2 linked regions of the Struthio camelus genome follow. The protein of the gene in region 2 purifies or fractionates together with the protein of the main gene of each other region. This does not show direct contact. Links are inferred from orthologs where the notes say so. Each region holds a gene or a part of one and is shown on either strand. Other genes may lie near its edges.

What was found. Proteins that work in one complex are often made in the same cells at the same time.
Region 1: the proteins of ANAPC15 (region 2) and CDC26 purify together in Homo sapiens (affinity purification with mass spectrometry; 3 studies listed by BioGRID and IntAct, with this or other methods). This does not show direct contact. The link is inferred for Struthio camelus from reciprocal best matches to the Homo sapiens genes ANAPC15 and CDC26.

What each region holds. Positions count from the first base shown.
Region 1 is NC_090961.1:12,162,092-12,167,277, reverse strand, and holds CDC26 (anaphase-promoting complex subunit CDC26), read left to right. Parts: upstream 1-3,914; 5' UTR 3,915-4,009; exon of another isoform or gene 4,010-4,039; 5' UTR 4,040-4,044; coding exon 4,045-4,125; intron 4,126-4,283; coding exon 4,284-4,457; 3' UTR 4,458-4,597; downstream 4,598-5,186. Other genes in the region: PRPF4 (U4/U6 small nuclear ribonucleoprotein Prp4), read right to left, coding at 291-385, 652-745, 1,014-1,093, 1,908-1,995, 2,222-2,408, 2,565-2,742, 3,504-3,575. UniProt on the Homo sapiens protein: Component of the anaphase promoting complex/cyclosome (APC/C), a cell cycle-regulated E3 ubiquitin ligase that controls progression through mitosis and the G1 phase of the cell cycle.
Region 2 is NC_090942.1:224,054,252-224,062,345, forward strand, and holds the start of ANAPC15 (anaphase-promoting complex subunit 15), read left to right. Parts: upstream 1-5,041; 5' UTR 5,042-5,115; coding exon 5,116-5,235; intron 5,236-8,094. Other genes in the region: folate receptor gamma-like, read right to left, coding at 43-178, 2,164-2,352, 2,441-2,638. UniProt on the Homo sapiens protein: Component of the anaphase promoting complex/cyclosome (APC/C), a cell cycle-regulated E3 ubiquitin ligase that controls progression through mitosis and the G1 phase of the cell cycle.

The DNA.
Region 1 (5,186 bases), on a different chromosome or scaffold from region 2:
GAACAGGAACCTCAAAGAACAGATCACACACAGAGCTGCAGAACCACACTGGGGATTTCTGCAGCGGCTATAATACCAGCACACTTGGAGCTACCAGCCACAGGGACAAGCGGACTCAGATTCGAATCCCTGCAAATCTTTAAAACAGGGTGAAGACAGAGTTCAGAGTAGGAACAAAGAGCACTTCTGAACTCTCAGGTTTCACAGACCTCCAGTAACATCCCTCTTCTTCATTCCTGTCACGTTCCACCCCCCTTTTCTAAAGCGAGGGCTTTAAAAAGAACACTTACCAACAGGCAGTAGCTAGGAATTTGGAATTGGGGCTGAAATGGCAGTAGGACAGCGGCCGATCATCTCCAATCTGACTGCAGAAGTTATTCAAGGACTGAAAACAAATACAAAGACAATGGCAAATAAGTACTACCGAGGTAGAAAAAGCCTTGGCCAAGAAGTGAGATGAAATAGGTAAGTGTACGAAGGAGGAGACAGAGGTCTTTGGAAAGTTACTTACACAAAGGGAAGAGCTGCCCCAGAGCCACTCCAACTCCATGCAGGAGGGGGACGGAGCCACTCTGACTGATCTAAGCTAGCACCTGACCTCTTTCTGATCTCTTTTGTCAAGAAACAAAGCTGAGCAGATGCCAAACCTACCCTCAGGGATTTGTGTAGCTCCTGTCTCTGTGATGTTCTGGTTGCCTCTGGAATCTCTTTGAGCAGCCGGGCTTCTTCTAGCCGCTTCACTGCCCTGTGCAAAGCAAAATTAGAGCAACAAGTCCCTACGTTTCCCCCGGCCTGCTGCTGGAAACAGGCCTCTCCTCTGCCTTTCTTAAAATTGGGCTAATGCCAGTGCAGTTACTAAGAACTTAAACTCTAACCTCACTGGGTTTGTCTACCAGCAGGGGTTCCCTGTTCTCTTGATCTCAAGTTTCTGGCATTACCCATAGTGGGATTAATGGTTAGATTTGACAGAAGCCTGCATCTCTCTCTTTTTCATGTATTTTGTTTTTCCTTACCTGGGGAGCGAGTAGTTAGCAAGCCACAGCCTAGCTGTCTTCAGACTGCGTGGTCCTTCGTGGTACCAGGTTTGCTGATACTTAGAGAAAAAGAACAAAACTAAAGAAAAAGCTAATGTGATAAGAGTTCTTCCATTCAGTCATCTTAGATAACTCCTCTTCGTACATAACTGCCACCGCAGCACCTTCTCTTAAAGCTTGCTGTCTTAAGGCCTTTGTCTTAAGGGGCTGAATGGGGTATTCTGCATAAATATAAGTCCTCAAAAAAGAGATTTAACACAGACAAGTCAAGTTCTCTGTCCTACAAATGAGATCCTGGTGTACTGCCATGCCCCACAGGTGTATTCTGCTTGAACACAATCTTATATTTCACTTGACCATTTACTGCTGATGATTTTACTGGATATGTGGAAAAGGGAGGAATAAAAAGAAAGCCTGGAGCTGCAGAAATTGTACTTACTCCTTATAGCAACCCTCCAAAATCATAAGGAAAAAACCAGACTCAGAAAAGAGAGGCAGAAAGAAAGAAGAATCAAAGACAGAACTAGATGTAGTGGCAGGAACATAGTTTTTTTCCTCCTGAGTAAGATGATGATCAGCAATAAAGGATTTACTAAGTAACAGTTCCAATGCTCAGTCTCCTGGTTTATACGCCATATGCAACATGTAATTTGGTCTGAAGTACAACCTGGACTTAATTCTCTTGATTTAAATACATTGCAACCCTCACTGTCAGTCTGACTGAAACCAAAAGCACTGGATCTATTGTAGACCGTCTAAATAAGGTATCTAAAAACTTTTTATACATATTCCCCGCCACATTAAGAGCTAGCAGCAACCCCTCCAAAATAAATAAATAAATAAATAAGGAGAGAGAAAAAGAGAGAATATTACCTCTTCTTTGGATTTTTTAGACTTGTCATCATCTTTCCTACTCTTTTTCAAGGCATCTGTGCCAACCACTGAAAGGATATTTCGTAATCTGAAAAGAAACACATTAAATCACATTCACTCAGTGAGCTGTCAGATAGTCTGACCATTGTCTTCTGTTCTCCCCCTCACCCCCATTATTCTTGCTACATCATAAAGAAGCATCACTGACTAGCAGCGTTCATTACACCCAAACTACAAGAAATATTTCAGGAATTTGACAAATGGGGTAGAGCTGAGTGTTAACAGTTAGCAACACGCAAGACTGGGCACAGCACCTCTCTCTCCTTTCTGCAGGACCTTCTCCAAAGAGCGTGATGGGCTCCCCAAGGGCTCGTAAGCAGGCTTTCACTTCAGAGTCGTCAGTGGAAACGTTGATTTGCCGGGCTCTCTTCCTGCGCTCAAACTCGGCTAAGACTTCGGCCTGACGCTCGCTCATATGGTCTTCGAGATCAAAGACCTCACCTAAACCAAAAGTGAAGCCGTTAAATTGAAAACGGCAGCTGGACAAAGGTGTCTCGTTCTTGATTTTAAATTATGCTCAAGCCCAAACAGAGAGACTTATGAATATGTCAAAATCAAGAGCGAGAATCAAAAGGTGACAGGGTTAAACATTCTCACCACTGCTTATGTTAATGTTGCCAGCCTCAATTGCAGCCTTCACGCCCTCTTTTCCCAGCAGGCCTGACTCTCCTTTTGCAAGACGCTCTCTTTCCTTCTCTTCCAAACTGCCATAAAAGATGTGGGCTCTTTTGGGTGGAGGAGCATCGCTCTCCTCTGAGGCCTTGCTCTTTGCGACCTAGAAAATAGAGGCAGAACATTAAGACTTCTTCAGTGTGTTTTAGCTGAATAGAAGACATTCGGTGAATGGCTTGGCTGTGCGAGAAAGCACTGCTCTGCCAGAGAAAGCTAGTAAGGACATCATGAAAAGACCCTGAAGCTGTGCACGAGATGCTAATTTAGAACAGTAAGGCTATGCCCCTCAAGTGCAAAAAATCAAAAGTTAAACGACATGTTCAATAGACTTGCTTAAATTAGATTTGCATCTTTTTCTATTTTTTTAGTGTCTGCTTGGGCATAGTTTTTAAGTCTCTCTCTCTCTCTCTCCTATTTTTTTTTTTTTAAAAACATGAAGCTCTTCCCAATCTTGCTGAAGAACTTCTAGAAGAGGCATGAGATGTTGAATGCCACCTCTCAATGCCCCCGCTGAAAAGCGGGAGATGTAACATTACCAAAAAAAACCCTCCTTTACTCGCAGGACAGAAGCCTGAAAGCACTTTTCAAGAAAATTACAGGATTCTTCAAAAATCTGCGAAAAAACATCAACAGTCTGGTCACGACCCCTTTCGAGGGCTCAGGTGTCGCTGACGGCACTCGAGTCTCCGCCGCGCCGCCGCTCGCTGCGTCCCCGACACCGGGGCCTCCCCCGCCACGCAAACCGCCCCGCTGCCCCCCGCTCCCCCTTTCGGGTCTCCGGCGCGCAGGCGGGCGGAAGGCGGCGGGCCAGGCCCGCTCCTCCGCTCGGCCCCGGCCCCGGCCCCGGCCCGGCTGGACACGCACCTCGGGGGGAGCGGGAGCCCGCGCGGGGGGCCGCGCGCCGCCGCGCGCCACCGGAGCCCGCGAAGAAGCCATAGCGGCCGGCACCGGGACACCCGCCGCTCCGCGCCCTGCCGCCCCGGCACCCCACAGTCACTTCCGGGGCGCCGCGCGGCGCGTGTCGGGAGGTGGGAGCCTGAGTACGCGGCGGAGTGAACGGCGAGCGCGATGCATGCCGGGAGGTACGCCCCACTCCCAGCTGGCGGGGAGCGCGGGGCGTGCCGGGAGGTATGACCACCAGTGGGCGAGGAGCGCAAGGCATGCCGGGAGATGTGGCCTCCAGTGGGCGAGGAGCGCAAGGCACGCCGGGAGGTGTGGCCCCCGACGGGCGGGGAGCGCGGGGCATGCCGGGAGGTGTGGCCCCCGACGGGCGGGGAGCGCGGGGCAGGTCGGGAGGTGTGGCAAACGGCGCGGCGGGGTGCGTTCTCGCTCCTTGCCGGTGGCGGCGGCTGAAGCCGGGCGGCGGCGGCTGAGGCGGCGCTGGCGGCGGCGGCGGCGGCGAGCGATGCTGCGGCGGAAGCCGACGCGGCTGGAGCTGAAGCTGGACGATATCGAGGAGTTCGAGAGCATCCGGAAGGACCTGGAGGTGCGAGCGGGGCCGGGCGCGGCGGCGGGCGGGGGGGCGCGGCCTGAGGCGGGCCCGGGGCCGCCCCGCAGCGCGCGGCGCCGGTACCGGGGCCCGGCGCGTCCCCCGCCGCCTGCCGGGAGCGGCCGGGCTCTGAGGCGGCGCCGTTTGCCCTGCAGAGCCGCAAGAAGCAGCGGGAGGAGGCGGAGGTGGCGGCGGCCGGCGAGGAGGCCGCCCTGGCGCTGGGCGCCGAGCACAAGAGCCGGGAGCAGATCATCGGCGAGCGCATCGGCTACAAGCCGCAGCCCAAGGCCGGCGGCCGCGCCGCCCACTTCGGCACCTTCGAGTTCTAGGGCCGGCGGAGCCCTGGACCGGTTTTTCTTGTTATTTTGGGGATTTTCTTGATTTTTTTTTTTTAATTTTCCTCCTTAACCAGCCTGTGAATGGCCCCTGGCTAACTATTTTGTTTTAAATAAATATGTTTTTTTTTTTTTTTAAGCGTGCGAGCTGCTTTCGCTGGCGGTGGAGAGCGGGGGTTGGAGGCGCCGAGACCAACGTTTGCTTCGCGTGTGCGAGAACCGGGGACTGAGCAGGTGCCCTGTTACGCTGAGGGGGTAAAACGCTGCCTCTGCGGAAAGAGGTTTTGGGGATCTTTTGATTTAGTTATCTTAAAAACTGAGCCAGCGGGATGTATTCATTGAAACCGTCAGCTCTACAAGACTGTGACCTCCCTGCCATGAGGAAGGGTGCTGCAGAGTATCTAATTAGTGTTTTACAGCTCTGGGTGAATAAAGATACTGGGTGTCATGGATCGGGGTCCAACTGGCAAAACTTCTCACAGACACCGCTCTATCTTCTTCTGAGAAGGCCAGGAAGGAAGCCCGCCATGGCTGTTAAAATGGACTAGTCCCGAACATGTTTCACAGATGGCTGTAGAGCTGCTTTACAGCCAGTGGCACAGCCAGGGTGTGGATTTTTTCCTTTGAATGAAACGCAGCAGAACACGCTAGGCACGTGGAAATTGAACAGTATTCCATAGTTTCTGATTAAGCATTTTTTTTCCTTTAAATTTATTTCCTTCC
Region 2 (8,094 bases):
GGACTGCCACCGCCGCCGCCGCCGCCCGCCCCGCGCCCTCACCCGTGCTCCAGTTCCAGCCCTTGTGCCAGTCCTCCTTGCAGGTGGCGGCGTCGCGGCAGTCCTCCCACCACTGCTCGCAGTCCTCCCGGCACAGCGGCACGCCCCGCACCCGCTCCTTGCGCCAGCTGGTGTCCGCCTGCGGTGCACCGTGCCCGCAGCGGCGCCCCGGGGTGCCCAGCGCCGCCGCCCCCCCCCTGCACTCTTGCAACGTGCCACCCCTGCGCCGTGCACGGCCCCGTGCCAGGTCCCGTGGGCCACCCGGGCTGGGGGGTGTGGGGTGGGTGCTGCGGTGGCTCCCGGTGCACCCTGCCACCCCGGGGTGCCCACTGCCACCCCCCCCTGCACCCTTGCAACGTGCCACCCCTGCGCCGTGCACGGCCCCGTGCCAGATCCCGTGGGCCACCCGGGCTGGGGGGTGTGGGGTGGGTGCTGCGGTGGCTCCCGGTGCACCCTGCCACCCCGGGGTGCCCAGCGCCGCCCCCCCCCTGCACTCTTGCAACATGTCACCCCTGCGCAGTGCACGGCCCCGTGCCAGGTCCCATGGGCCACCCGTGCCGGGGGGTGTGGGGTGGGTGCTGCGGTGGCTCCCGGTGCACCCTGCCACCCCGGGGTGCCCACTGCCACCCCCCCCTGCACCCTTGCAACGTGCCACCCCTGCGCCGTGCACGGCCCCGTGCCAGGTCCCGTGGGCCACCCGGGCTGGGGGGTTGTGGGGTGGGTGCTGCGGTGGCTCCCAGCATGTTGTGCCCACAGGAGCCACCCCTGGGTGCTCAGTGCCACCCCCCCCGCACCCTTGCAACGTGCCACCCCTGCACCGTGCACAGCCCCGTGCCAGGTCCCGTGGGCCACCCGGGCTGGGGGGTGTGGGGTGGGTGCTGCGGTGGCTCCCGGTGCACCCTGCCACCCCGGGGTGCCCAGCGCCACCTCCACCCCCTGCACTCTTGCAACATGTCACCCCTGCGCAGTGCACGGCCCCGTGCCAGGTCCCGTGGGCCACCCGTGCCGGGGGGGTGTGGGGTGGGTGCTGCGGTGGCTCCCGGTGCACCCTGCCACCCCGGGGTGCCCACTGCCACCCCCCCCGCACCCTTGCAATGTGCCACCCCTGCGCCGTGCATGGCCCCATGCCAGGTCCCATGGGCCACCCATGCCGGGGGGGTGTGGGGTGGGTGCTGCGGTGGCTCCCGGTGCACCCTGCCACCCCGGGGTGCCCAGCGCCACCTCCACCCCCTGCACTCTTGCAACATGTCACCCCTGCGTCGTGCACGGCCCCGTGCCAGGTCCCGTGGGCCACCCGGGCTGGGGGGTGTGGGGTGGGTGCTGCGGTGGCACCCGGTGCACCCTGCCACCCCGGGGTGCCCACTGCCACCCCCCCCTGCACCCTTGCAACGTGCCACCCCTGCGCCGTGCACGGCCCCGTGCCAGGTCCCGTGGGCCACCCGGGCTGGGGGGTGTGGGGTGGGTGCTGCGGTGGCTCCCGGTGCACCCTGCCACCCCGGGGTGCCCACTGCCACCCCCCCCGCACCCTTGCAACGTGCCACCCCTGCGCCGTGCACGGCCCCGTGCCAGGTCCCGTGGGCCACCCGGGCTGGGGGGTGTGGGGTGGGTGCTGCGGTGGCTCCCGGTGCACCCTGCCACCCCGGGGTGCCCACTGCCACCCCCCCCTGCACCCTTGCAACGTGCCACCCCTGCACCGTGCATGGCCCCGTGCCAGGTCCCGTGGGCCACCCATGCCGGGGGGGTGTGGGGTGGGTGCTGCGGTGGCACCCGGTGCACCCTGCCACCCCGGGGTGCCCAGCGCCACCTCCACCCCCTGCACTCTTGCAACATGTCACCCCTGCGCAGTGCACGGCCCCGTGCCAGGTCCCGTGGGCCACCCGCGCCGGGGGGGTGTGGGGTGGGTGCTGCGGTGGCTCCCAGCATGCTGTGCCCACAGGAGCCACCCCGGGGCGCCCAGGGCCACCTCCCCCCACCCCCCTGCCCCCTCGCCGCGCTGCAGCGCCGGGCGCGTCAGCCCCGCACCACGTGGGCACCTCACCCCCGTGCCAGGCGCCGCGGGCCACCGGTGCCAGCAGCGGCACCGTGCCCACCGGCGGGGGGCGGGGGGGGGGGCGCCCACCCTACCTGGTCGATCCAGGGCCCCAGGTTGGGCGAACACTCGTAGAGACAGGCGTCCTGCACGAAGTGGCGCTTGCAGCGGGCCGGCATGGCGCCGCAGTGGTCCCAGTTGAAGTTGTAGAGGGGCGAGCGGTCCTGGTGGGCGGCCGCGCTGGTGTTGGCCGTGCAGCAGGCGTTGTCCCGCCAGGGCGCGCACTGCCGGAGCGGGGTGGGGGGGGACAGGCGGTGGGTGCGGGGGTCTCACCACCGCGGCGGTGACCCCCGGGCGCCCCTCGCCCCCCACCTGCCCGTAGAGCTGCCCCTCGGGGCCGGGCTCCGTCTTGTGGTGCTTGGCGTCCATGCACACGTTGAGCGGCAGCGCGCGGCCGGCCGCCGGCACCGCCACCGCCGCCACCACCGGCACCGGCAGCAGCAGCAGCAGCAGCAGCGGCAGCAGCGGCAGCAGCAGCAGCAGCAGCAGCAGGTCCCGCGCAGCAGCCATCTCCCTGCGCAGCAGCGCCGGCCCCCGCTGCCCACAACAGCCGGAGGGAGCGCGCACAGCCGGACGGGGCCGAGGCGCGCACAGCCGGCCCGTGGACCGGTGCCCGGGGTGGCGGCGGTGGTGCGCGCACAACCGCCCCGGCTCGACTCAAAGGTCAGCGGGCGCCCAGGGCTCAGCGCACCCCCCCCCCGCCCCGTCCCGTCCCACGGGATATCCCCCGTGGGTCACCCACACGCACACCCACACACCCATGGGGGAACAATCCCCCGTGGGGCACCCAGCCAGGCACCCACCCACCCCGTGGGTCACCGACAGCCACAAGCACACCTGGGGGGAACGATCCCCCGTGGGGCACCCACACCCACCCGTGGCAAGGCACCCCGTGGGTCACTGACACACACCCACACACACATGGGGGAGCGATCCCCCCTGGGGCACCCACACCCACCCGTGGCAAGGCACCCCGTGGGTCACTGACACACACCCACACACACATGGGGGAGCGATCCCCCCCGGGGCACCCACACCCACCCGCGGCCAGGTCCCCCGTGGGTCACCCAGCCAGGCACCCACCCACACCCGGGGCCAGGTCCCCCGTGGGTCACCAACACCCACCCCCAGGGTTCAGATCCTCGTGGGTCACCCACCTGCACACCCACGCGCACACACAGACACACACATGGGGGGACAGATACCCTGTGGATCACCCACGCACCCACCCCCCCCCCACACACGGGGGAGGTCCCCCGTGGGGCACCCATACCCACACAGACACACACACACCCAGGGTTCAGTTCCTCCATGGGGCTCCCACACCCACCCAGAGGCAGATCCCCCGTGGGTCACCCACCCAGGCACCCATCCACACCCAGGGTTCAGATCCCCCGTGAGTCACCCACCCCATCTGCAGACACACACCCGGGGTAGATCCCTCCTGGGTCACCACAGCCACACCCCCCACAGGACTGTGGAGCAGATCTCCCGTGGGTCATCCACAGCCACACCCACACGGTGGGAGCTTCTCCATGGGCCATGCAGCCATCCGTACCCACACCCACCCAAACCCAGGGGCAGATCCCTGGTGGGTCACCCACACCCATGCCCAAACACACACCTAGGGGCATGTCTCCCGTGGGTCACCCACCCCCACACCTGCACATACCCGGGGCAGATCGTCCGTGGGTCACACCCACCCACCCCCACACCTGAGGGGCTGCTCCCCCGTGGGTTACCCACACCCATACATCCACCCACAACCATCCGGGGGCAGGTCCCTTGTGGGTCACCCATCCACACCCACACCCACCCACACCCAAATCCACAAACACCCGTGGAGCTGGTTCCCAGTGGGTCACCCAGAGCCACACATCCCCCACACTCATACGTGGGCAGATCCTCGTGGGTCACCAACTCCCACCCAGGGGCAGATACAACGTGGGTCACCCACCCACCTACAACACCCCACACCTGTGGGGCTGTGGGTCACCCACCCATACACCCACAAACACCTCCCCACGTGCACACCCGTGGGCCAGATCCTCCATGGGTCACCCACCCACAAACACTTCCCCTACACCCACAAACACTTCCCCTACACACCCGTGGGGTTGATCCCCATGGGTCACCCACCCACCCACATAACCCCACAGAAACCCACTCCCACTCAGGTGCAGATCCCCAATAGGCCACCCACGCACAAGCACACACCCACGCACAAAAACAAACCCACAAGAGATAGATCCCCTTGGGTCACACACCCACCCACAAACCCCCACAGACACCTGCCCTACCCAGGGACAGATCCCCAGTGGGTCATCCAGCCACCCACAAACACCCACTCCCACCCCAGCGCACATCCCCGTGGGGCCACACACCCACACCCACCAAACCCCACGCCCACCCACACCCACCCGGGGGCAGATCTCCAGTGGGTCACACTCCAACCCACCCACAAGCCCCCACAGACACCCATTCCCACCCGGGGGCAGATCCGCAATGCATCACACACCCACCCACGCACACACACGAACACCCGAGGGGCAGATCCCCAGTGGGTCACACACGCACCCACCACCCCCCACAGACACCCACTCCCCCTCGGGGCAGATCACTCGTGGGTCACACACCCACCCACCCACAAACCCCCACAGACGCCCACTCCCACCCGGGGCCGACCCCCGTGGGTCACGCACCCACCCAGCCCCCCCGGGTGGCAAAACCACCATCAGTCGGTGACGCGCTGGCCCCGCCCCTCGCCCCTCAGGCCCCGCCCCTCGCTCACCCCCCCCCTCCCCGCGGGCGTGACGTCGCCGGCGTTCCGTCCGTGGGCGCGGGCCCGCGGGCTCCTCCGCGCATGCGCCGTGCGCGCGCGCCCGCCGCAGCGCCGCCCCGCCCCTTCCGGCGCGTCGGGCTCCGGCTCCGGGTCGGCGCCGCTCCCCGCCGCGCGGGGGTTCCGCCGCCGCCGCCGCTGCCGCAGCATGTCCACGCTGTTCCCGTCGCTGCTGCCGCGCGTCACCGAGGCGCTGTGGTTCAACCTGGACCGGCCCTGCGTGGACGAGACCGAGCTGCAGCAGCAGGAGCAGCAGCACCAGGCCTGGGTGCGCCGCGCCGCGCCGCGCCTCCGCCCCGCACGGCGGGGTGCCGGGGCCTGGTCCGCGGGGGACCGGCGGCGGGGGGGGTCTGGGGACAGGGGTGGCGGGGGGGTCCTGGGGACGGGGGTGGCGGGGGGTGGGGGGTCGTGGGGACGGGGGTCGAGGGGACAGGGGTGGCGGGGGGTGGGGGGTCCTGGGGACGGGGGTCCTGGGGACAGGGGTCGTGGGGACAGGGGTCGTGGGGAGAGGGGTGGCGGGGGGTGGGGGGTCGTGGGGACGGGGGTCGTGGGGACAGGGGTGGCAGGGGGTCGTGGGCACAGGGGTGGCAGGGGGACGGGGGGTCCTGGGAATGGGGGTCGTGGGGACAGGGGTTGTGGGGACAGGGGTGGCGGGGGGTGGAGGGTCCTGGGGATGGGGGTCGTGGGCACAGGGGTGGCAGGGGGACGGGGGGTCCTGGGAATGGGGGTCGTGGGGATGGGGGTCGTGGGGACAGGGGTGATGGGGGTCGTGGGGATGGGGGTCGTGGGGACAGGGGTGCCGGGGGTCGTGGAGATGGGGGTCGTGGGGATGGGGGTCGTGGGGACAGGGGTGATGGGGGTCGTGGGGATGGGGGTCGTGGGGACAGGGGTGCCGGGGGTCGTGGAGATGGGGGTCGTGGGGATGGGGGTCGTGGGGACAGGGGTGATGGGGTCCTGGGGATGGGAGTCGTGGGGACAGGGGTGGCGGGGGGTCATGGGGACAAGGGTCATGGGGACAGGGGGGACAGGGGGATGGGGGTGGCTGGGGGCCGTGGGGACAGGAGTGACGGGGGTCCTGGGGATGGGGGTCGTGGGGACAGGGGTGGCAGGTGGTCGTGGACACAGGGGTCATGGGGACAGGGGGGTCAGGGGGATGGGGGTGGCTGGGGGCCATGGGGACAGGGGTGAGAGGGGTCGTGGGGACAGGGGTGGCAGGGGGTGGTGGGCACAGGGGTGGCGGGGTCGTGGGCACAGGGGTCATGGGGACAGGGGTGACAGAGGGATGGGGGTGGCTGGGGGCCGTGGGGACAGGAGTGACGGGGGTCCTGGGGATGGGGGTCGCGGGGACAGGGGTGGCAGGTGGTCGTGGACACAGGGGTCAGGGGGACAGGGAGGTCAGGGGGATGGGGGTGGCTGGGGGCCATGGGGACAGGGGTGAGGGGGGTGGTGGGCACAGGGGTGGCGGGGTCATGGGCACAGGGGTCATGGGGACAGGGGTGACAGAGGGATGGGGGTGGCAGGGAGCGGTGGGGACGAGGGTCATGGGGACAGGGCTGACGGGGGGGTCATGAGAACAGGAGTGGCAGGGGGTGGTGGGGACGGGAGTCGTGGGGACGGGGCAGACAGGAGGGTCATGGGGACGGGGGTGGCAGGGAGTGATGGGGATGAGGGTCGTGGGGACAGGGCTGACGGGGGTTGTGGGACCGAGGGTTGTGGGGATGGGGCTGGCAGGGCGTTGTGGGGATGGGAGTTGTGGGGACAGCATTGGCAGGGGGTCGTGGGGACGGGGCTGGTGGGGGTCGGGGGTAACACGGGGTCGTGGGGGCGGGAGTGGTAGGAGGTCTTGGGGACAGGGGTTGTGGGGGTGGGACTGACAGGGTTCCTGGGGATGGGGGTCATGGGCATGGCGGTCGTGGGGATGGGGCTGACAGGGGGGTTGTGGGAACGGGGGTCGTGGGGTTGGGGGTCACGGTGACAGGGCTGACAGTGGGGCTTGTGGGGACGGGGGTCATGGGGACCGGGTCGGCAGGGAGTTGTGGGGATGGGAGTTGTGGGGATGGCAGTCGTGGGGAGAGCGCTGATGGGGTCAGAGGGACGGCGGTGGTAGGAGGTCGTGGGGACGGGGGTCATGGGGATGGAGCTGATAGTTGGGTTGTGGGGACGGGGCTGACAGGGTGCTGGGGACAGGGGTCATGGGGACGGGGCTGATGGGGCGTCATGGGAACGAGGGTTGTGGAGACGGGCCTGGCAGGGGGTCGTGGGGACGGGGGTCGTGGGGACCAGGGTGGCAGGGGATTGTGGAAATGAGAGTTGTGGGGACGGGGCTGGCAGGGGGTCATGGAGACGGGGGTGATAGTTGGGTTGTGGGGATGGGGCTGACAGGGGGTCCTGGGGATGGGGCCGGTGGGGGATCCCTGAGGACAAAGTGACTCTGGGTGTGGGGGTCCTGGGGACAGGGCCAACAGGGGCTTCCCGGGATGGGGTCCCTGGGGATGGGGGTCCTGTGGACGGGGCTGGCGGGGGCTCCTGGGGATGGGGGTCCCGTGGACAGGGGTCCCAAGGATGGGGGCGACAGGAGGTCCCCGTGGACGGGGCTGCTGGGGCTGGGTGAGCAGAGCGCAGGGCAGAGACCTGCGGCGCGGGGCTGGCTGATGGGGGCGCAGGGGTCCCACCGCGGGCCGGCGACGTGGCTCCGGGCCCGGCCCCCCCGGGGTCTCCCGCGGTTGGGGCCCTGCCCCGCTGCGGGCTCTCACCAACGCCCCGGTCGCTGCCTCTGTCCCAGGACCGCGCTGGGGTCCCGGGCGCCCGGCGGGATCCCCAGCCCTGCAGCGCCGGGGCAGGATCGGGTCCGCGGTCGGCTCCTCCGAGCGCTTTCCACGTGCTTCTGCCCTGGCGCCGCGGCTGCGCCGCCGGCCCCCCCTCGCCCCGGCGCCCGGGCAGGGCCCAGCGAGCCGCTCGTCCCGTGGCCCAGCCCTCTGGGCGCAATTACGCCGCTGCCCTTCGTGGTTCGCAGCTCTCCCGTTACGTGTGTCGGCAGCTCAAAAAGGTGTTGCTGAAGCACGGGGCCCCCTCCCCGCCCCGACAGCCGTGAATTAGGGAAAGGTGCCCCGGAGAAGGACTTCTCACT